3 linked regions of the Coturnix japonica genome follow. The protein of the gene in region 1 interacts with the protein of each later gene in a pairwise test. Links are inferred from orthologs where the notes say so. Each region holds a gene or a part of one and is shown in the gene's direction. Other genes may lie near its edges.

Region 1 (6,479 bases):
TTGAGATGCAGAAAAGCAAGATAAATTAGGATAGAAAGCTTTCCAAGATAAAGCTTGAAAGCCAAAGTAATGTTCTGGAGTTCTTAATGTCTATTTACAGCTCTGCTTTAATGCAGTTCTGCTTTTCAGGAAAGTATAACAGCTGGGACAAGGTGGATCCAGCAGAACTTTTTAGCAAAGCTCCTACAGAAAAGAAGGAAGCTAATCCCAAACTGACCATGGTGAAGTTTTTGCAGGTATTCTTTCTTGAGAAATGTATTTGAGGTTCTTGTCAAAAAAGACAATCTGTACGTGTATTGGATTCGTGTTTGGCTTCTAACAGCGCATGGAAGGTCTGGCCTGTAAATGGCTCCTTCAGGGTGTCTCTGTCAGTCTTTTCTCACGTGCAGCTCTCTGGGATGAAAGCAAAGATCTGGATCCTTTTTCAAAATGATGCGCTTTCTTGAAAGAAGGTGTTTGGTGTAAGACTGATTTCTGGTGGATAACTTCAGACTTCCTGGCAGCTTTATGCGCTAGAAAGTGGTTCTTGATTGTGGTTTGTTTGTTTTTTTTATTCTTGCTTGTTTGATTTAATGATGTAAGAATTAAGACAGAGGAAGGGGAAGGGACTGGGCCCAAGGTGATGCATACAGTGTGCTTACAGCATACAGAACTTCAGGAGCCTTCCTCTGCTGTAGAGCCATCCGTGCTGATATATGTATTTTTTTGAGATCCTGCAGAAAGGATGTAGGCAAACCTTCAGTTCTGTGAAGCACAGCCTTCTTCTCCCATAAGCCATTCTATGATTACATGCTGTTTCCTTTTTACTTTTGCTTTCTTATTCCAACTCTTTTTGCACCAAATAAATTGTGTCAGTCTTTAGAGCTTTAAAACAGAAACAAAAACTATACAGTTATTGAAGAGATTCTTTTTTGAGTAGCTGATGACTCTGCTAATTTCTCCTACAGGTGGAGGGAAGAGGCTGCGATTGCATTGTCTTGTGGTTGGATTGTGATAAGGAGGGAGAAAACATCTGTTTTGAAGTAAGATTTCTAATACCATATTTCATTCTCTCTTGTTTAAAGAAGCACATTTTAGCAAGTGTTTAAGTTCTTTAAATACCACCACTTCATAACTGTGCCCTGGCAACCTAGGTAGAAACTGATACATATTCATCAGATATTCACAGTGTTACTGTGTAGCAGTGTTACACATCAGCAGATGTTTTGTGGGGAGGGTTTGGTTTGTTTTTTTTCCCTCCAGAGGAAAGAACTGACTTAAGCCCTCAGCTTTCAGTTACTTACAAAATCCTCTTCTGATCCTCCTTAGGTTCTTGATGCTGTTCTTCCTGTTATGAACAAACTTCCTAGCACCGAAAGGACGATTTATAGAGCTAAATTCAGTTCTATTACTGACACAGACATCTGCAATGCCATGAATCATTTGGGAGAACCCAATCGCAATGAAGCCCTTTCAGTGGATGCCCGCCAGGAGCTGGATCTCAGAATTGGCTGCGCGTTTACAAGGTAACAGCACAGATTGCAGATGGTTTTATGAAAGGTTCAGGAATACTGCCCTGTCCATAGAATGTGCCTTAGAGCTGCAGTGGTTAATTCTACTGAGTTACCAAAGCAAACAATTTTATACTGTGAAGTTTTTGGTTTTTTTAAATATACATGAGTGACTTGGCAGATTATTCATACGTATCTGGGAAAGTTCCTGAAAGTTGCTGCTTTGCATGGGAATGAGGATATTCATCTACTTGATGCTTTATTTGATCTTTTCCTTAAGGTTTCAGACTAAGTATTTTCAGGGGAAATACGGAAACTTAGACAGCTCCCTCATCTCCTTTGGGCCATGTCAAACACCAACACTTGGTTTCTGTGTTGAAAGGCACGACAAAATCCAGTCATTCAAGCCTGAGACTTACTGGGTGCTGCAGGCTAAAGTAAGTTATGTGTTATTTGTTTGATTAAAACATGTTTTCCTTCTTATATAGTAAGAAACGGACTTAACACTTTCATTTTGTCCATTCATGAATTTGTAGCTGCTGACAAGAATTCACAGTGCCTACAGTTTACTCGTCTATTTTCATTCAGTTCACATGTGTGTCACCACTCTCTTAATAGATTTGAGGATGTCGGTTCTGTGTTCAAGCGGTTATTGTGTGCTGCTTGTAAAAATTCTTTAGTGGTAACCATCTAAGCTTAGACTGAGCCAGAAAGACTACTTAAAATGGCCTGTTATTGTTCCCTGGGGTCCTTGGACCAACTGTGGTGTTAATTTGAATCCAAGAATTAATTTGTCTGCCAGTGAGCATTGGCATTGCTGAGTATTGGAATTCTGAAGCAAATAAAATGTTCACTGTGTTGGCACTGAGTCTTCTGAATGCTTTGGCAGTTTATGGCAGTTTTATAGCCTTGCTGCTGTTCCAACTTGGAGCGCTAACCAACATGGTTTTACTGTTTGTGATGACAAGGATTGTGTAAATAAATAGGAGATAGATGGTAAAAAGTTGCTATTTTTAGATTTTAAAATTTAAAAAGAAAAAAAAGTTGAAATCCAGTGTCTACTCTTATCTGTTTTCTGCTATATCTCCTTTATATGTGTCATGCTAGGAAGCATTTGGTTCCTGTTTTCAGGGTGTTTCATGCACACACATTGATTAGTTCATATTTACTTTTGTAGGAGGGACTTGGATTGTGGCCCACGTACATTTTATTTTTAATGCAAAGAATTAATGAATTTTGCTAAGTGAAAATGTTAAACTTTGAATTTCGGCCCATTTTGCCTTTGTTATTCCAAGTATTTAAAATAAGCACAGTATTTCAGTTAACTGCAAGAATAATTTCAGTCATTCTCCTTGCCCCAGAACTCAAATTACTCTTTCTCAGAAGCCACTGGAAAATGAGTACAGCTGCATGCTTGGAGCACTTGTAAAACAACTACTACTAAGGTTTACTTGCTGGATTATTGCTGAAGTGCATTCTGCACTTTTAGTAATAGTGCTGGTGGGAATTAATTTGTTGTTGTTTGTTTTTGATCCATCAGGTGAACCCTGAAAAGGAAAGTTCTCTCACTTTGAGTTGGGACAGAGTGCGGGTATTTGATCGTGAGATCGCTCAGATGTTCCTAAATATAACAAAGGCTGCAAAAGAAGCAAAGGTAGAACTATTTACTTAGGTGTTGGTAGAGCTTATTTCACATAAAGGAAATACTACTCAATAGTTCATCTACTGTATATTGGTTTTTTTGAGCCTTCTTTTGGCGAAGAAGGTTAAGAAATATAATCCTTATCTTTTTTTATTTCATTCAACTTTGTGTAAATGATAAGTAAAAGGCAAAAGATTCTTGCTTGTAGTTTGTGTTACATTAGTATGGTCATCTCAACAGAAGCCCATTCTTAATATTGACTTTGGAAATGGTCATCATTCACGATAGGAATTAACAGTCTTCATTGCTGAACTTGCTGAGAAGCACAGTTCAGAACTCCCCAAGCAGACCTCTTGTTTCCCACAGGACACTGCATAGATCGAAATCTATTTACTTATAGAACAACATTCCTGCAGTTAAGTTTTTAACTTTGTACGGTACAGTCCTTATAGCCAACTAACCTGCTGTTCTGTTCAATGCTTGTCTGACACTGTGTTGGGATTTAAGTGTTTACAGCTACCAACGTTCAGAGGCTACACGGTGTTTTAAAAAGTTGAGATCCTTATATCTAGGACCGTTACTTGGGTTGAGCACTACTCCCTTGTAGCACTGATGTATGTGCTGCAGAGCTAAATGGGAAGTGAAGGTAGCAGTAAGCTACATCCCTTCATGTCCAGTGGTAGGTCTGATCTAGTCCATAATGTGAAGGGACCCTGGGGCTATTCCTTCAGCATTTGGTAAAGCTGTTTCCCATCAGATTTCCACCAGATCTGACGGTTACTTTTCTACGGAAAAATATCAAAACACAGATGTGACGAAAGCAGGTCCTGGTAGGAATACCACATGGTTTTAGTCATAATAGACATTTTACATTTATCAGTTACCAAACTTCAAAACTTTTACTGGAAAAATGCTATTTTCTAGGTAGAATCTGTGAGTAAAAAAGAGAAGGTGAAGCAGAGACCACTGGCTCTGAACACGGTAGAAATGCTACGAGTGGCCAGTGCTGCTTTAGGTACGTGTAAAAGTTTAGATTTTCACACTGATTTAGAGCAAAATACTTTGGATTCTCAGCTGAAATAATCAAGCCCATATGTAATATTTTAATAAGTCTCCCTACAGTGTATCACTTTTGGGAAGCAAGTTTAGAAAGCATGTCAAAAGTACTGGGTCAGATCAAGGTGGCAAAAGTCTTATAGAAAGGACAAGTTGTAATTTGTAATTAGCTTAAATGTTTTGACAAGGTGTGCTTTAAGACTCAGCAACCAAAGGCATCTACAGATTGCTGTATGATTTTGTTCTCTCCTGTGCCATCCCAGGAATGGGTCCGCAACACGCCATGCAAATAGCAGAGCGTCTTTATACACAGGGTTATATTAGCTACCCTCGAACAGAAACTACCCATTATCCAGAAAACTTTGACTTGAAAGGATGCTTGAGACAACAAGCTAATAATCCTTACTGGGCAGAAACGGTGAGTAAATCAAAACCTGTACTGTTCTACAGGTGGTTCTCTAGTCTGTGTTTTTAGAACATCTTACCTGGTATGTCTTGATCTGTAGGTCTCTGCAAACAACAAGTATCTGTAATTGCTTTTACTTACAGATATTGTAGTTATGGATTTGATCTTAAAAAAAAAAACAACTTCTAACCTGATAGTAGAGACCTGCTATCCACTTCAACCCGTTTTCTCTCTTTTCCTTGACCCAGGTAAAAGCATTGCTATCAGAAGGCATCAATCGTCCAAGGAAAGGCCACGATGCAGGTGACCATCCACCCATCACTCCAATGAAAGCTGCAACAGAAGCAGAATTAGGTACAGACAAACTGAATAGTGTTAGAACACTGTGAGGAAATTGGTTCTCTGATAAAGAAGCATGTTAAGACTTTGAGTAGCCATACAGCTTACTGAATGGCTATGTAAAACTTCTTTGTACACAATAGGATGAAATATGCAAAGCACAAGACTGATACTTAGGAGCTAAGTTTCTGTTTATAGTATTATAACCTCTCTGCTATTTGATTTCCTAGCTATATGTTGTGATTAAGGAAACTGTGTGTAGCTCTTGTCTGTTCTGTGCTAGTTTGTCAGGCAGCCCGATTGATAGCATATTTAAAAAGAAAAAGTTGAAGTTAATGTAGCACAGGATTCTAACAAGTATGATTTTATGGGTAGGAAATTTTGAAGGGGAAGCTGGATGGACTTTTCAATCCTATTTTCTCTTAGGTACCAGTTTTCCCTGTGGTTTCTGTGGAAATCTGATATCTTTTAGCGCAAATTTTATGTAGTGCTGCAGGACTTGATTTGTGGGAGTAAGATATTGTTTATCCTCAGGTGGAGATGGATGGCGGCTGTATGAGTACATCACTAGGCATTTCATTGCCACTGTGAGCGCTGATTGCAAGTACCTACAAACCAACATTTCTGTCAGCATTGGCCCTGAACGTTTTAACTGCGTTGGGAAAGTGGTAACTTCACCAGGTAAAACTAACCAGGGAGTAAGTAGTTAGGCACCGTTTATTATTTTACCCACTCATGCATTAAATAGATATAAAAGTGAAGTTTTGGAGGCAAGTAGAATTTAAGACTTCTTTTTTCCTGGAGCTTATTAAGATGACAAGGACTGAATCTTGGTCTTCGCTTCCTTATTTACGTTATGCTGGAAAAGGATGTACTTCCCATGTAGTGGTCTCAAAGCTTTAATGCCACACTGACCGGTGGAAAGACCAGTCTTTTTTCAGACTGCAGATCCTGTTGTGGTTTATGTTGCACAAAGGCTGATGGTTTTTTCTTATATTTTTCCCTTGAGCCTCAGGAAAAGGACTATAGTACCCTCAGTGAAATGTTCACAGCGGGCTGTCCCAGTCATCTGCTACATTAATACAACTTAGTATTTGCACTTTCTTTTTAAGAGACTCTTCCCATCCACTTGGTAAGACTTCTGGCACTGTGCTTTTGTTTGAGGAAAGCCCTGTTCGGTTGTTTTTTCAGTTTTGTTTTGTTTTTTTCTCCATATATCAGCAGGACTCGATTTATCCACAGAAGTTTTTATGCCGTTGGAGATCCCATCTCTTGATACAGTATTTCAAATATTGTCTGCAGGGAATGGCAAACAGCCTCTCAACTTTGATGTGCATCGTGTAGCCCGTGTTAAAATTAGAAGTGTGTGTCTTGGCCCTTTGAAAGCTGTGAAGATAAGCTCTCATTATTTTGTTTACCTCCAGGCTTCACAGAAATTATGCCTTGGCAGAGCATCCCATTAGAAGAGAGCCTTCCCTGCTGTGAGAAAGGAGATCTCTTTCCAGTTGGGGAAATAAAATTGTTGGAAATGCAAACCAGTCCTCCT
Region 2 (6,479 bases), on another chromosome or scaffold:
GTCCTTAAAATGCATGTTGAGTTTCTTCATTTGTGACCTTTCATGATGAGCTATTTCTTCCAGAATTCTTTTGTTGTGAGCTTATGATGTGCTGCCTTTGAAAGCCCTTCAAGAGCTGGTGGGGCTTTTTTTAAGAGCATGGCGTAGTTCTCATGGTCCTGATATGACCTGAGCTGAGGTGATTCCTGTTTCCTTCTGTCTGAGGTACCAGCTGGGGTCACAAATGTGTTTTGTGTCGTGATTCTGGGGGAATTTCTGAGGGCCATCTTCCAGGCTCCACTTGGCTCCCTTGAGTTCCTGGGTTATGTGAGCTCCATGGTTTTTCCACCACTGTGGAGACCAGTTCCCTTACTCTTACCATGTGGGTGTTAGCCTTGGGGCTTCACTTGGCTCATCTTGCTCTTCTCGTCCCCATCTCTAATAGCATACCATGCGTTGTTTGGTGTCTGTGTTGACATTGGGAAAATCAGTGGAGCTGTTCCATGTCGTTTGGTTGGTCTCTGCACTATGGGGGTCTTGAGCACTCAAGACCACGCATTGCAGAGGCGGATTTCCATCTTGGCCACAAACTCTGCAAATGCACTGCGATCAGATCGGAGCTGCCTAAATACCGCCCTCAAGAAAAACACCCTGATGAGAATGTGTGATGCTCACAAAAGGTTCTGTTTTGTTTTGTTGCCATTGCAGTGACAGCTATATTGTGCGAGTCAAAGCTGTGGTTATGACCCGAGATGACTCCAGTGGGGGATGGCTGCCGCAAGAAGGAGGCGGCCTCAGTAGAGTTGGCGTCTGCAAGGTCACGTACCCAGAGGGCAATGGAAGAAGTGGATTTCTAATCCATGGTGAAAGGCAGAAAGACAAACTGGTAATAGAACCTAATTCAACTTTTTGTCTGTTCTTATAATGAGAATTATCCCGTATCTGATGCTATTGTGTTCTTGTGCAAGATTTAAAAAATAAAAACAAAAAAGGCATGTACAGCTAGAGCCAGATTGTACGAAGCAATCCTGTCCTCATCAAGAAAGCAGTTGAGTTGCCATCTCTCACTGTCTGGCCATCATGCTGCCACGAGCAGGTAAAAGGTGTGCAAAGAACCCCCCTCTGATTCCTTGAGAAAGGGCCTGCGTTTTTCTCACATCTAGCAGGGCTGTGTGAGAAGTGAATTGAAGTGTAAAGAATCCATGAAGCCAGTCACATTGCACTGGGTAATGCAGCGCAAGACTTTAAAAATGGCAATGAATTATTTATGCTGCGTGCTGCTCAAGGTTTGAACAAGCAGGGTGAGAATATGAAGACAAGTTGTCTCTTATGAATTGACGCACTCGGTTTCTTCTGGTAGCTGTTTATCTGAGGGGGGAAAAAAAAGACACTTTTCTTTCCCATACAAAGCAAATTAATAAAGCCTCTTCCTTATTTGCAGAGTCTGGTTTAGCTGTTGTATTTTGTTACCGCATTTTTATATATTCAATTCTTCTGAAATTCACTCTTATGAAGAGATGGGCTGGCTTAAAAATAGGCTCCCCGCACAGGCTCAGGAAGCTGAGTGCTTGGGAAAAAAGTGTATATATATCACTTTAGTTGGAAATGGCCTTGCTTTCAAAAGTTCTGGTGTTTTAAAGCTGTTTAAAGTGCAGCTCATCTTTTGTGTTACTGTTCTGCTTAGGATGCCTTTTTTTTTTTTCCCCCACGTTATTTTCAATCAATGCTTACAGTTTGGGGGGGAAACGGGGTAAGACTTAAATGCTGTTTCTGTTCTCTCTGAGCATCACCCTAGAAATGATTTCTGGCACAGAATCCTAGCTGGGCATGAGGGAGGAAAGAGAAGTGGGGGAGTGTAATAGCACCTCCTAAATCTGCCCCAGCGAAAAGTACCTACTCAGAGCCTAATAAAAAGATGAATGTGTGATGCTTATGAGAACAATCAAAGGATCTGGTGTTTATTAGTCATAATTTAGTAGGGAAGGATGTGCTCTCTACCAGCATAGCGCGAATCATGACTTGGCTTGCTTTTGGGTAGAGGAAGGCGCTAGTTGAGGCTGAAGTGGTGACATCTGTGTCCTCGGTATGGGAAAAGTGACTTTGCTCCTCTCCTTCTCTCAGGTGGTGCTAGAGTGCTTCGTGAAGAAGGACCTGGTGTACACCAAGGCGAACCCGACCTTCCACCACTGGAAAGTGGACAACAGGAAGTTTGGGCTCACTTTTCAGAGCCCTGCTGACGCTCGAGCCTTTGACAGAGGCGTGAGGAAAGCCATTGAGGACCTCATTGAAGGTACCAGGGCGTGTGTAAACTTGAAGTGTCTTCAAAGCAAGGAGATGGGAAGATGTGGGAGTTAAATACCAGTCCTTGGACTTGGAAGTCAATCTGGCGCTTCCAAGTGTGCCAGGCTAGCTCAGTTCAGAGAGCCGTGTCTCTTCATCCCTTAAGGAGAGAAGGGATTTAAGCCCAAATATTTTTTCATCCTGTCTGGCCTGGTCTGCCAGGATCTCACCCATTAGTTGTTGTGTGGTTATGACTGATTTTTTGATAGGCTGTGCTTTCGTGTTAGGGACAACAACAACAGCCCAGGCTTGCCTTTATGTGTAGCCGAATCCACTTACACTGAGTCTTTGTTAAATCAGCAGAGGATGAATTCCTGCACGAAGCTGAATTAAAACTTTGTTTTGTTTTTGCAGTAATTACTTTTGTCTGTGTCCGCTTGGCTGAATGGCTGTACTTGAAGACTTTGTTGTGTTTGGTGTTTTATTTTTTTCATCCTTTAAAAATGCATTTGAATTGCCCATGCTTTGAAGAGGTCATAAATTCTTCCTCTTCACATCTCGCTGCAATCAGTCATAATACAGCTATAACCCAATACTACTTGATTTTATTTACATGAAAATCAATTCTCTGATTTTTGAGCCATCCTGCTTTTCTTGCAGTGCCCTGTCCTTGCTTTACCATGTAAGTGGTAGCTACAGAGTGGGAATTAATCCCCCATGGCTCTTTCCTGCTTTGAGGAAGGATCTTCTCAACTACCGGTTGTTCGCTTTTTCCTGTTTATTTGTTGACCTGAACAAATCATGGCTGACCCTCTGCTTTCTTCCTGCTTGCTAAAACCGGGAAGCATTTTGATTCACAGAAGTGACATTTTATAGAAATGACACACGGCCAAGCAGCGTTCAAAGATTTTAGCTCAGTTGTATTGAGTGGTATTTTGGAGATGCACCCGGTGCATGGCAACTCCAGTTCTTTTTGATCCATTTTACAGTGGAAGTATTTAAAACCAAGTTCCTCTGCATCTCAGATACTTCAAAATCAGCAGCTCTATATTTATCACATTAACAGCACAGGCTGATCCTCATGAATGTGCTCCTACTTAACTTCCAAATAAGGCTTTCTGAATGAAAAACAATCACTGGCACGTGCACGCACAGTGTCAGACCTTGGCTTTCATTTGCTGCTTGTTTTTTGTTTGCTTCATCAAATTCAGCAGGTAATTTAAAGCAGGGCAAACCGCGTCTGAAGCTTCGCTTCATGAAATCACTGCTCTATCCAGCAGGTTATTTCGTGTTGCTTTGAAAGTCTGTTTTGTGCAGGAGTCCTGGGCAGCCTTGTAGGGAAAATCTAGATGTTTTAATTATTTTTTTTTAAAACTAATGTAGCAAACTGCCTGAATGTTTTCACGTTACATAGTGTTTTAAGTGGGCTTTCACACTTGGCTCTGCACATCTTTGCGGTTACGCAACTGAATGCAGCCAAGGCTGGTACAGTTTAGCATTATATAAAGTACGCTATTTAGGATAAATTTCCAGAATGAAGACGCTACAAAGCATTTAAATATTCTAGTTTAAGGATGGGGTGTGGCTGCAACCTAGTGGGATAAAGCATCTCAATGAGGTGGCACCCATGAGGTGAGAGGAGTTATCAGGGGCCAGAGATGTAGGATACAATATCCCACTTTTTCAGTCTTTTTTTATGGCAGTATGAATTTCAGTTCCTTTCAGATACATTGCTTATGTGGGGAAAGACGATTCTATTGATGAATTGCTGATAGCAGGGATGTTTACTGTATTTAACAACTTACAAGAAAAAAAAAAATCAAAAGCTTCCTTTTCAAAGTAAAAGTTTGTTTTTCAATAGAAAGTGATTTTTTGACCCAATTTTAGGGTTTTCTTGAGGAATAACTCATGAGTGGTTTCTTGACAGCTGAGGGTCTGGACCTAAGCACCGATCAGTGCGTAGCTTTACCGTTCTTCAGAAATGAAAGCCTTCTGCAACTGGAAATGCTGACTGCTATTTTTAGCAGAGTTAATTAGCATTGGCAGCCGTGTAGTTACATGTCAAGAAACACTTTCAGATTTTACCTTTCCAACCCAGCAAACAGCAGGTGGTTCTTCTTCCTAAAAAAGAGCTTTTCACATCTATCCAGCAAATAAAGCTGTTAGCCTCCAAGCATTCACCAGCCTGGTAATAATAACAATTGGAAAAGTTGCATGGGAGTGTCATATTTTTAAAAGCCTGCTTGTTTCTAGGGTCTACTACTTCCTCTTCAACGCTTCACAACGAGGCTGAGGTCGGTGACGATGATGTCTTCACAGTAAGTGCATCTCCCTTCTGGCCGTTCTCCTTTATGATCTTGTTTTACATGGTCAGGTTTGAAAGGTTTAAGGGTTCGTTGGTTTTTTTTTGTTGTTGTTTTATTACCTGGGTTTGGCTTCCGGCTTTAATTGCATTTGTTCAGTGGGTGTGTTTTATTTGATGGAAGCATAAACCCTGCAGAAGGTAAACTTGGGTTTCTCTTGGTCTCCCATCGCCATGTGAGAAGCACGACAGAGCAGAGCAGATGTTGTCAGGGCTGGAAGTGAGCAAATAATGTCCCTCCAGTTTAACACGCCATGGTCTGAGTGGTTCTTCTCCATACAAAAATAAAGTAGGTAGCTGCGTCTTAGGTGTGCAGTCAAGGAAATGAAGTTCTGAAATATTACCTTTATTATGGGGAACAAAAGTCAACCTTGAAGGCGTCCTGTGTGTATGTGAAGGTAGAAAGTTCATTGACACATGAGCTACCCAGCCAGCGGTGGCTGAAGGAGGAGTGAGTTCCTCATATTGAATTTATGGTGATGTCCAAAATGTGTTTTGGAGCTTTTTTGAAACAGGAGCACCTACTGTCCCTGCTGCACTCAAATGCTTTGAAAAGGAGGAGGGAAGAAAAAAAAAAAACACAACCGAAACAGTGACCATGTCAGATGAAATTGTAATCTGATCGCGGATATTCTGTGTACTGAAAAAACAACGCTCACAATGAATACTTTGTTTTATTACGCTTATTTACCTGGCTCTACTCACAACCCCCCTTCCTTACACGATAAATGCGCTCGTTGTGTGGTGCAGGTGGGGGTGGGCTGCCAGGTGGGACGTCCTCATTCAGGTCCTTTTCTTTCCTCTAGGACACCCCTCTGCACCTACGGGGGGAGCAGGGCAGGGCCGAGGGTGGGGAGAAGTACCATCCAGCCAGCCAAAAGGTGTCTTTGAGGCCCAAGTGGGCTGGCGCTGGACAGGGCTTTGTGCAGTGCTCCAACCCAGCTGCTGGCACGTCATCTGGCCAGTCCTTTTGTCATGGCTCCAGAGGCAAACAGCAGTCAGGGTTAAAAGGTGACTTCCTGTGCTCGGCAGCAAACCCATCATTAGCAGCTGCTTCCCAGCTACCTGCCAGGGGTGATTTATAGGCACAGAGCTGGGGGAGGCCCCGCTGGAGCCAGGCCAGTTTACCAGTTTGTGCTGTTTCGTCCCCAAAGCGGGGCACTACTGTACTTGTCAGGGTGAGGATGCTCCCTGAAACACACCTTGCATGGGCATCCACATGCCAGCTCTCACTGGGTGAGGCACAGAAATGCAGTGAAAAGCAGCCTGCAGAAAGAGCAAAGGAGATCTTTTTTTTTTTTTTTGGCTTTGTTGGGCTGAATCTCTCCTTTCACTGTAGTAAAGTTCTTTGAAGTTCTTGGCTTGCCGTTTATCTGGGAATCCTGGTAGATGATGGTGGAGCCTGAGATCTGCATAAGCCAGAAATAACACACCCAAGCGCGTAGGGCTTTTAGACTGGAAGAAATTAATGTGTAGTGTTTTTTGGGGGTTGGTTTGTGTTTTATTATTTTTACCCTTCTGTTTCATTCTTTCTTTACACTCCTTTTAAACATATATATGATAGTCCAGTTGGTCCTCCTTGCCCAGAAAATGTTTATTGCAGCTCTCTTGTAAACGCCACAGCAATAGATCTTTTAGGGTTTGGGTTTTCACTCTGTTTTAAAGAGAAAGCACATTTGCTCTTTTTATTTCCTAAGGTAGTTATTAAAATCCTTGCAGTCCTCCCCCTCTCCCACACATGGATGAATAAACTTGACTGCGTGCGGCAGAATTTTCAGAAGCATCTGCATGATTGAGTCATTTAAGCAGTCATTTACGCATCTCTGAAAATCCCAGCCGCTGCCTCCAGTCCTTGCTG
Region 3 (7,215 bases), on another chromosome or scaffold:
AGGGAGGATCCTTCCTCTTGCAGCAGTGATCCGTCTTCCTGCAGGCATTGGGCTCCTCAGGGCACTCTGGGATGCTGAGGATTTTGGTGCCTCAGGATGTTAAAGCTCCTTGTTGGGCACTGATGGGAGCCAGAAGAAGCAGACTGATGTGGTCCCACAGACAGTTTCCAGGCAGTGAAACTCCCGTGGGCTATGGGGTGAGGTCGGTTTCTGGGCTTGGGAATGGGTTGGAGCAGCACAAAGCTCACCCCAGACCATACTGTCCAGCCCCATTGCAGTTCCCCCAAAGCACTTTGGTTGGGGTTCATGGGATGCCTGCCTCGCCCACGGGGTGCAGGGAAAGAAGATAAGGCTTCAAACCAGCTTTGATGCTGCAGATTGAGGGTGTGAGAAAGTCCTGCAAGCACACTACCATGCTGATGGGCAGCCATGGAGACAGCATTGCCCACCCCAACATGAGGGGGGACCCAAAATACCCCTGTATGCATCATCTCATGCGGGCTGAGCTCTGTCTCCACCAGTGCCAGCAGCAATGCCACCAGCGGGTGGCTGTATGGGGACACAAATGCCACCAGACTCCTGGGTAGGGAGTGGGGAGCACTTTGGCACCCCATCAGGACTCAGTTTCCCCATGTTTGCTGGAGAACTGCAGCTCTGCTATGCGGTCGGTGGCACTTGGGCATCCCGGGGTCACAGTGGAGCTGCAGAGAGGGCTGTTCCTTTTGCCATCAGCATCCCTGCACTGCACTGTGCTCTTGCAGAACATGGAGCAAACCCTTGTGTTGAGTTCAGGGCAGCCCTGGAAAACATGCTTTAAAATCCTAATTGTGATCTCGGTATCCCTGTGCTCCTCTGACCCACTCAGCACCACATGATCCATGCTGCAAATCACCTGCATCACAGATAATTACAGCCCGGCTCCAATAAGTGAGCAAGAAGCCCGTAATTATCCACAGAAGTTATTTGACAATTATTATTTTATTTTAATTAAGAAAAAAGGAAGAAAGAAAGAAAGAGACACCCCAAACCCACAGGAACTCCATGGGTCTCATCGCTGTGACTCAGGAGGAGCGATGGGGCCAGACCCCAGCAGTGGGGCAGGGCTGCAGTGGGGCAGGGCTGCAGCACAGCCTGTAGTGTGGGGAATGTGGGGCGGTTTCTTCCCAGCAGCTCAGAGCAACTCAGATGCCCACTGCAGCCCTTCCACTGCCCTCTGCCCAGTGCTGGGATGCTGAAGGATGGTGGTGTGGAGACCCACAGCATCCCTTGGATGGAAGAGTTAATTGCTCTTGTAATGAGCAGCACGTGCTCTGTGTTAGGGAGAGATGAAAGAAGGAAGGAAGAGAGGAGGGCAGGGAAGGAAAGAAGGGTTTAAGTATTTTGAGGTCTGTAGGTGATGGGAGAAAAGTGCAGGTCTTCAGCACTCTGGGAGCAATGTTACTGATTTCATTCTAAGTCAGACTCAGGTCTTACTGAATACATGTGTGATTTGTTCCATTATTAACAGCTGGGTGTGCTTTACCTGCTGGTACCTGAGGTTGAAACCAGTGGGAGATGTGAGTAAATGCAAAAGGGCTGTTCTGAGTGAGCTGGGAAGGGTGGGAATGTTTCTGTAAGGTCAGGGTAGGTCTCGTGGGGCTGTTGTGGCTGCTGCAAGCCAGTTTCTCTTTGGCAAGGCACAGAGATTGCCCTGCAGCATCCTGCAGGAGCGCAGGGCTGGGGAGTGTGGGTACGCTGGGAGGGGTCTTGAGGGCATTACAGCCCTCCATCAGACATAGCACTGCATGCTGCTCCCTCAGGGGGCTGCAGGCTCTCTGAAAGCCACATCCCATGCCAGCTCCCAGCAGAGGCGAGCATTTCCCTCCTGTGGAAGACAGCAGGATGGGGTTACACACAGGCACAGTGCTGCCAACGCAGCCCATTGCCACTCCTGCAAGAGCTGTGCACAGGGATGTACACCTGCTTCAGATGCTGATGGTGAAATGGAAGCGCATGGCTAAACCACCGATCCCCAGAGAGGTGTTGGGCAATGGGTGCTGAGCCAGCACAGCCTGTTCCGGCTGTTCCACGGTTTGCTCAGCATAGGAAATTGGGAGCGGGCTGTGAAATTCCAGAGCTCAACATGAGGTGGTGCAAAGCATCCACTGCCCGTCCCCGAGCAGCGGCAAAGGAGGAGAGAGCGACAGGCAGCAGGTGAGGGAGGTGCTGGGGAGACGTGGAAAGCACGAAGCCACCGAAACACAAGAAGAAAAGGTGATGATATCAGGGGAATTCATCTGGCCCTGCTCATCACTAGAGCTGCTCTGGAAGAGGGATTCAGATGTTAAAAGGATTTTATATGTATATATATTTTTTCCACCATAAGAATAGATGTCAGAGGGCGAGTCGTGCTTTAGAGCTGTTAGTTACTCACAGAGCTCCCCAGGCCCGCGGTGTGACTGAAGCACCTTCATTTCCCATTGGTGGGATGTGGATGTTAACGCACACCGGGACCCCCCCGCTCCCAGCAACACGCTGGGTGTGAAAAGCAAGGAACCTCCTGACCCAAATGCACCGACATGGGAAGGGTGACTCCAAAACATCCAGACGTGGGGCAGCCGGGGGTGATCTCCTCATCCCTACGGAATGTGACTCACCCCGCAGCGGTCGCTGTGTTGACACGGAGCTGCCCTGCCGGCTCCACGCAGCGCCACTCGGTGCCTGCTGGCCCAGGGTCACCTCTGCCACCGGCAGCTCAGCGCGGGGCCCAGGCAGCACTCCCATAGGGAAATGGTCTGGGGGGCGAGCGGAGGGCTGCGACGGGGCCACTTGTTTTCTGCATGGATATATGCAATAAGGGCTGATGTGGCTCGGCTGCAATCAGGAAAACCGTCCTCGCTGAGCGGTGCTGGAGAGGGATTTAAGGTGAGGATGGGGCGCGCGGTGGCTCCGCTGCTGCGATCTCCCCTTCGTTTCCCAGCCCTACGGGGGCGGTCGGGCCCGGCCCGGCTCGGCCTCACCTGGAGCGGGCGGGGCGGTGGGGGGCGGCGGGGCGGGCAGCAGTTCGGTCCCGCCTCTCCCTCCCCCCCCGCCCCGCAGCTCCGCCGCCGCCCGCCCGCGCCGCCGCCGTCTCCCCCGCACCGCCGCCGCCTCCAAGATGCCCGGGCAGCGGCGGGGAGGCTGCCGCAGCCCGCTGGTAAGGGGAAGGGGGGCACCGAGATCGCGTGGGGGCACCGCAGGGAAATAAAGAGGAGGTTAGGGGGGGCTGCAGCCCCGCCCTGGGCTTTTTTTAGGGGTTCCTGTAGGATTTATGGGGCTCCGCCATCCGGTTATAGGGCGGGCGGCTCCGTGCTTCCGTGCCGGCCCTTTTCCCCCGGAACCGTCCCGCTGCCTTTTTAATGTAATGTAATGTTTTGGGGTGGGGGGGTGCCGGTTTTTGCCGCAGCCGGTCGGCGGGGTTCGGCCGTGAGATCCGCTGCCCCCCAACCCGCTGAAGTTGAAATGGAAGCGGACGGTGAAAGGAGCTCTTCTCCCGGCTCCCAAAAACGCGGCGGAGCGCGGAGAAATGCGCACCGGGCATCGCGGGCGCTGCGCTGAGCTCCGTGCGGTGCTGCCGGTCCCGAAGGGCAGCGCCGAGTTCTATAAGACGCTCCCCAACACCGTACGGTGCCCGAACCCGCTGCCCTCTTCCCTCTCCCAACCCCCCGTCCCGGAGGGTCCCGCAGCGCTGCGGGGTTTGTGCGGGGCGTGAGATGCGGGAGGCGCTGCCGGGCGGCTGCAGGTGCTCCTTGCTGCGTTCCGGGTTCGGGTTTTCCCCCCTCCGTTCTAAAGAGCGCTCCTCGCTCGGCCGCAGAACGCTCGGGGTGGGGGAGGTTCGGCCGACACGAAGGGATTTGGGCTCCTCGAGGCCGCCCATGGGAAGTACGCAGCGATGAGGAGGAAGGCTGAAGGAAGCTGCCTTGGCTTGGGCAGGTGCTGGTGTGGTTCCGGAGCTCCGAGCGTACGGCTCCGGATCCGTGTGCTGCTGTCCGTGTGCCGGCAGGCGGCATGGGATCGGCCCCGGAGCGCGTGAGATGGGTCGGTGACTTTGCGTTGGTTTGTATCGGGGTCATCTCTCCTTTTGGTGGTGGGGGGCGGCGGGGGGCGCGTTCTCCAGCACGCTGTGGGTTTCTGCACGGCAGAGGGTGGTTGGAATGTGGGGTTTTAGGGGTTGGGGGTTTCTCTTTTTGAGCCTCTCGGGTCAGCTCCTGACCCCGGAGCCGTGTCACACCTCAGGGTGACAGCTGTGCCGCCTCACCGGAGATGCCACAACCCCCAAACCAACGCTGTGCTGCACTCCGTGCCCAGCTCTTGCCAAATTTCTCCTCCCTCCAAATAATGCAGGCTACGGCCTGCCCCCAGCTTGCCTTTTCCCAAGTAGAGGGCACTGCATGGAGGCCAGCGAGAGCCTCCCTTGGCTGTCACCTCCAGCAATGTGATGGCTTTGTGCCCCGGAGGGGGGGCCCTCCATCCCCCCCACTCACAGTCCTCGTGGCAACTCTGGGATGTGCTGGGACAGGGCTGCAGTGTGGGGTGGTGGGGTTTGGGGCTTAAGAGGGGTTTCTGGTGGCCCCAATGGGCTGTGACAGCTCTCCTCCCACACTGCTGGCTGGCAGAATAAGTGCCCTTTGTGCCGCTGGACACGCTGCCCTTTCTTAGGAAATGGCCCATTGTGCAGCCTGGAGGCTCCGTCCATCCATCTGTGGGTTCCTCCCCAATCAGGCAAACCCAGCATCTGGGATGCCCCATTCCTGCCCCCTCCTTGTGCCCACATCCCTTTCCCTGCGATGCTCGTGTACGTTCAGAGCTCTTGTCCCCAGCCATGCCCCAGCATCACTGCATCGCCCGGTGCACAGCTGGGGCTGCACCAAATGGGGCTGAGCCTGGTGCATTACAGCAGTGCAGGAGATGCTTCCTGCAGGCCCCACGGCGCAGCACATCGTGGGGTGTCTGCCAGGAGCAGCCCGACTCGCCGGCTTCCCATGACGTGGCTCAGGGTTGGGAAATGAAAGGGGCTCTGTGCCTCTGCGGAATACCATTACCATTATTTATTGCTGGAATTTCTGTCTCACAGGGGAATTAATTGCTGGCTCTGGTCGTTTGGGTCTTGTTTCGCCAGCCACGCGCTGGGGGGAACGGCCTAGAAATTAAATGGCGTTTGAATATACAAACTCAGTTCTGAGTTTGGTTGACCAAAGTGGGGGGAAAAAATGAACTTCAGGCTGAGCTCTTCCTGGAGCTGAGCTGGAACGTCACAAGCATCAGCTGGCCCAGGGTCTGCGTGGGAGCAGAGGGAACATGCACATGTACATCTGTGTGTGCACGGCAGGAGCTCAGCATCCCACGGTGCAGAGAGCTTGGAGGTGGGTCAGGCACTGCTGTGGGTTACCCTGGGTGGGGACCCATTGGAGCTGATGCCTGGGTGCTGCCATCTGATGGAGTTTAGGGGTGGGAGAGCTCGTGGTGATGGTGTCCCTCCTCAGGGAAATACCCAGACTCCTGAAATCACAGAGCTATGGCAAAGCAAGCAATGGGTGCTGTGTGTTTTTAGGGTGGATGCACAGACCCAGGCCTTTACCTCTGCTCAGTACATTCCCCTGATGGCTCCCAGCTGCGCGTTGCATCACAGTACAGCTGAGGCATGCTGGGACCTGGCCATGGCTCTGGGTGCCTGCTTGCCTGGTTTGCATTCCCCCTCCCAGGAACCCGCTCTGTTTTGTGCTTGGAGCTTTTCCCTGGCTGCAGGGAAGGGATGGGGGGGAGCAAGGAAAGGTCTGTATGCCAAGCAGCCCTGGCGGCTGCCATCCTCTTTTCCTCCGTGCTGATGCCCCTGGGGTCACTAATAGCCCTGGAGCCTCTGGGAAATTTGTTTCCTTGATAAGGAAGGGCTTGTTTGTGCTCTTGTTCCATCCTTCCTCATTTCTCCTGGAGAAAACCTCCCTGAGAGGCTGCATGGAGGCAGCGAGTCCCTGAGTGTTCTCACGGGGGGTACCAGATGTAGAGGATGCTGCGGCCCCTGGCAGCCCAGGGATGAGCGGGTGGGATTACTGCTTGCCAGATGCAATGAGGGTAAGAGCTGTCCTGCTCTGTGACTTGTTTGCCCTTTTGTCCTGGATATACCACCAAGCCCCCAAAGGATGGGCAGTGGCTGAGTAATGTCCTCCTCATGGCAGCCCCTGAACCCACAGTGGGGCTGCCCCCATATGGGGCTGTGAGCTGAGCCCTGCTCTGTTCCACCGGCCCTGGGTGCCTCTTCCTGAGCTGAGACCAAAATATCTCCTACCTGCATTGTTCTCCTGTGGGGGATTACTGCTGATTGCTCCCCATTGTCCTCAGTTCCTGCAGGAAGCCCTGTTTATCTTACCCGCCTGGCCAGGAATGCAGCCCCACGCAGGCAGCACGGATATATCTAAACTTAGACAGAGCTGGACAATGGCCTTTGGACTTCCCGACTCTGTGGCATCTGTCGTGTCCTGATGTTGTGGTTTTGGGGCTGAGTTACGTGGCCACCAATTAGCAGGGCACGAGGGCAGTGGCTAATGCTCTTTAAGAGCACTCTGTCTTAAGGATGTCCCACAATGAAGGCTCCTTCAGTGCGTGCAGGGTCTGAGGGTCCTATGGAGCATGGCTGGCTCTGTGCTGTGTTGGCTTGGAGCAGCTGGATGCAAACAGCATCTGTACTGGGAGACACACAGGACCCCCGAGCTTTGCATCCAGTTCAGTAAGGGAGCTGAGCTTCCATGGGGCGGCTGCACAGCTGTGTGTCTCTGCACCCCACACATCTCCATGCAGCATCCATCCCTGGGATGGGAGCTTGCAGCCGTGCCCTCCCCTTGTCCTTGCAGAGCTGGAGCTCTCTGGCTGCTTGCAAGGCTGCAGCACAGCTACAGCTACGTTACTGCTCACCCGGGGCTGTGTGCCATGCCTCTGTACCAGCTCTGTGTGCTGGGGTCTGGGCGGGTGGATTTCTTGCTGGTGGGGTACGGTGTTTCCACCAGGCTGATCTTTAAAGTGCTGAGGGAGCCAGAGGGATTTGGCTCCCGGAGTGGCTGGGTGTGCTGGGCTGTGAAGGGGAATGGGGTGGGGGTGGGGAAGAGAGCAAAAGGCTCCAGGATGGGCAGTGGTTTGGGAAAGGTGGTGGGACTGTGGGCCATCTGTTGTGGCTACTGGGCCTGGGTGCTTGCAGGATCTGCGTGG

The links.
Region 2: the proteins of TOP3B (region 1) and SPRED2 interact in binary tests that used the Homo sapiens proteins (3 or more experiments, as listed by UniProt). The link is inferred for Coturnix japonica from reciprocal best matches to the Homo sapiens genes TOP3B and SPRED2.
Region 3: the proteins of TOP3B (region 1) and MID2 interact in binary tests that used the Homo sapiens proteins (3 or more experiments, as listed by UniProt). The two-hybrid records come from large-scale screens. The link is inferred for Coturnix japonica from reciprocal best matches to the Homo sapiens genes TOP3B and MID2.

The regions. Positions count from the first base shown.
Region 1 is NC_029530.1:346,909-353,387, forward strand, and holds part of TOP3B (DNA topoisomerase 3-beta-1), read left to right. Parts: intron 1-116; exon of another isoform or gene 117-129; coding exon 130-236; intron 237-947; coding exon 948-1,022; intron 1,023-1,308; coding exon 1,309-1,505; intron 1,506-1,770; coding exon 1,771-1,927; intron 1,928-3,030; coding exon 3,031-3,144; intron 3,145-4,056; coding exon 4,057-4,147; intron 4,148-4,451; coding exon 4,452-4,606; intron 4,607-4,842; coding exon 4,843-4,948; intron 4,949-5,467; coding exon 5,468-5,614; intron 5,615-6,357; coding exon 6,358-6,479. UniProt on the Homo sapiens protein: Releases the supercoiling and torsional tension of DNA introduced during the DNA replication and transcription by transiently cleaving and rejoining one strand of the DNA duplex.
Region 2 is NC_029518.1:1,451,933-1,458,411, forward strand, and holds part of SPRED2 (sprouty-related, EVH1 domain-containing protein 2), read left to right. Parts: intron 1-687; coding exon 688-865; intron 866-2,100; coding exon 2,101-2,269; intron 2,270-4,512; coding exon 4,513-4,577; intron 4,578-6,479. UniProt on the Homo sapiens protein: Negatively regulates Ras signaling pathways and downstream activation of MAP kinases. Recruits and translocates NF1 to the cell membrane, thereby enabling NF1-dependent hydrolysis of active GTP-bound Ras to inactive GDP-bound Ras.
Region 3 is NC_029519.1:1,720,883-1,728,097, reverse strand, and holds the start of MID2 (probable E3 ubiquitin-protein ligase MID2), read left to right. Parts: upstream 1-2,690; 5' UTR 2,691-2,904; intron 2,905-3,070; exon of another isoform or gene 3,071-3,175; intron 3,176-3,778; exon of another isoform or gene 3,779-4,074; intron 4,075-7,215. UniProt on the Homo sapiens protein: E3 ubiquitin ligase that plays a role in microtubule stabilization. Mediates the 'Lys-48'-linked polyubiquitination of LRRK2 to drive its localization to microtubules and its proteasomal degradation in neurons.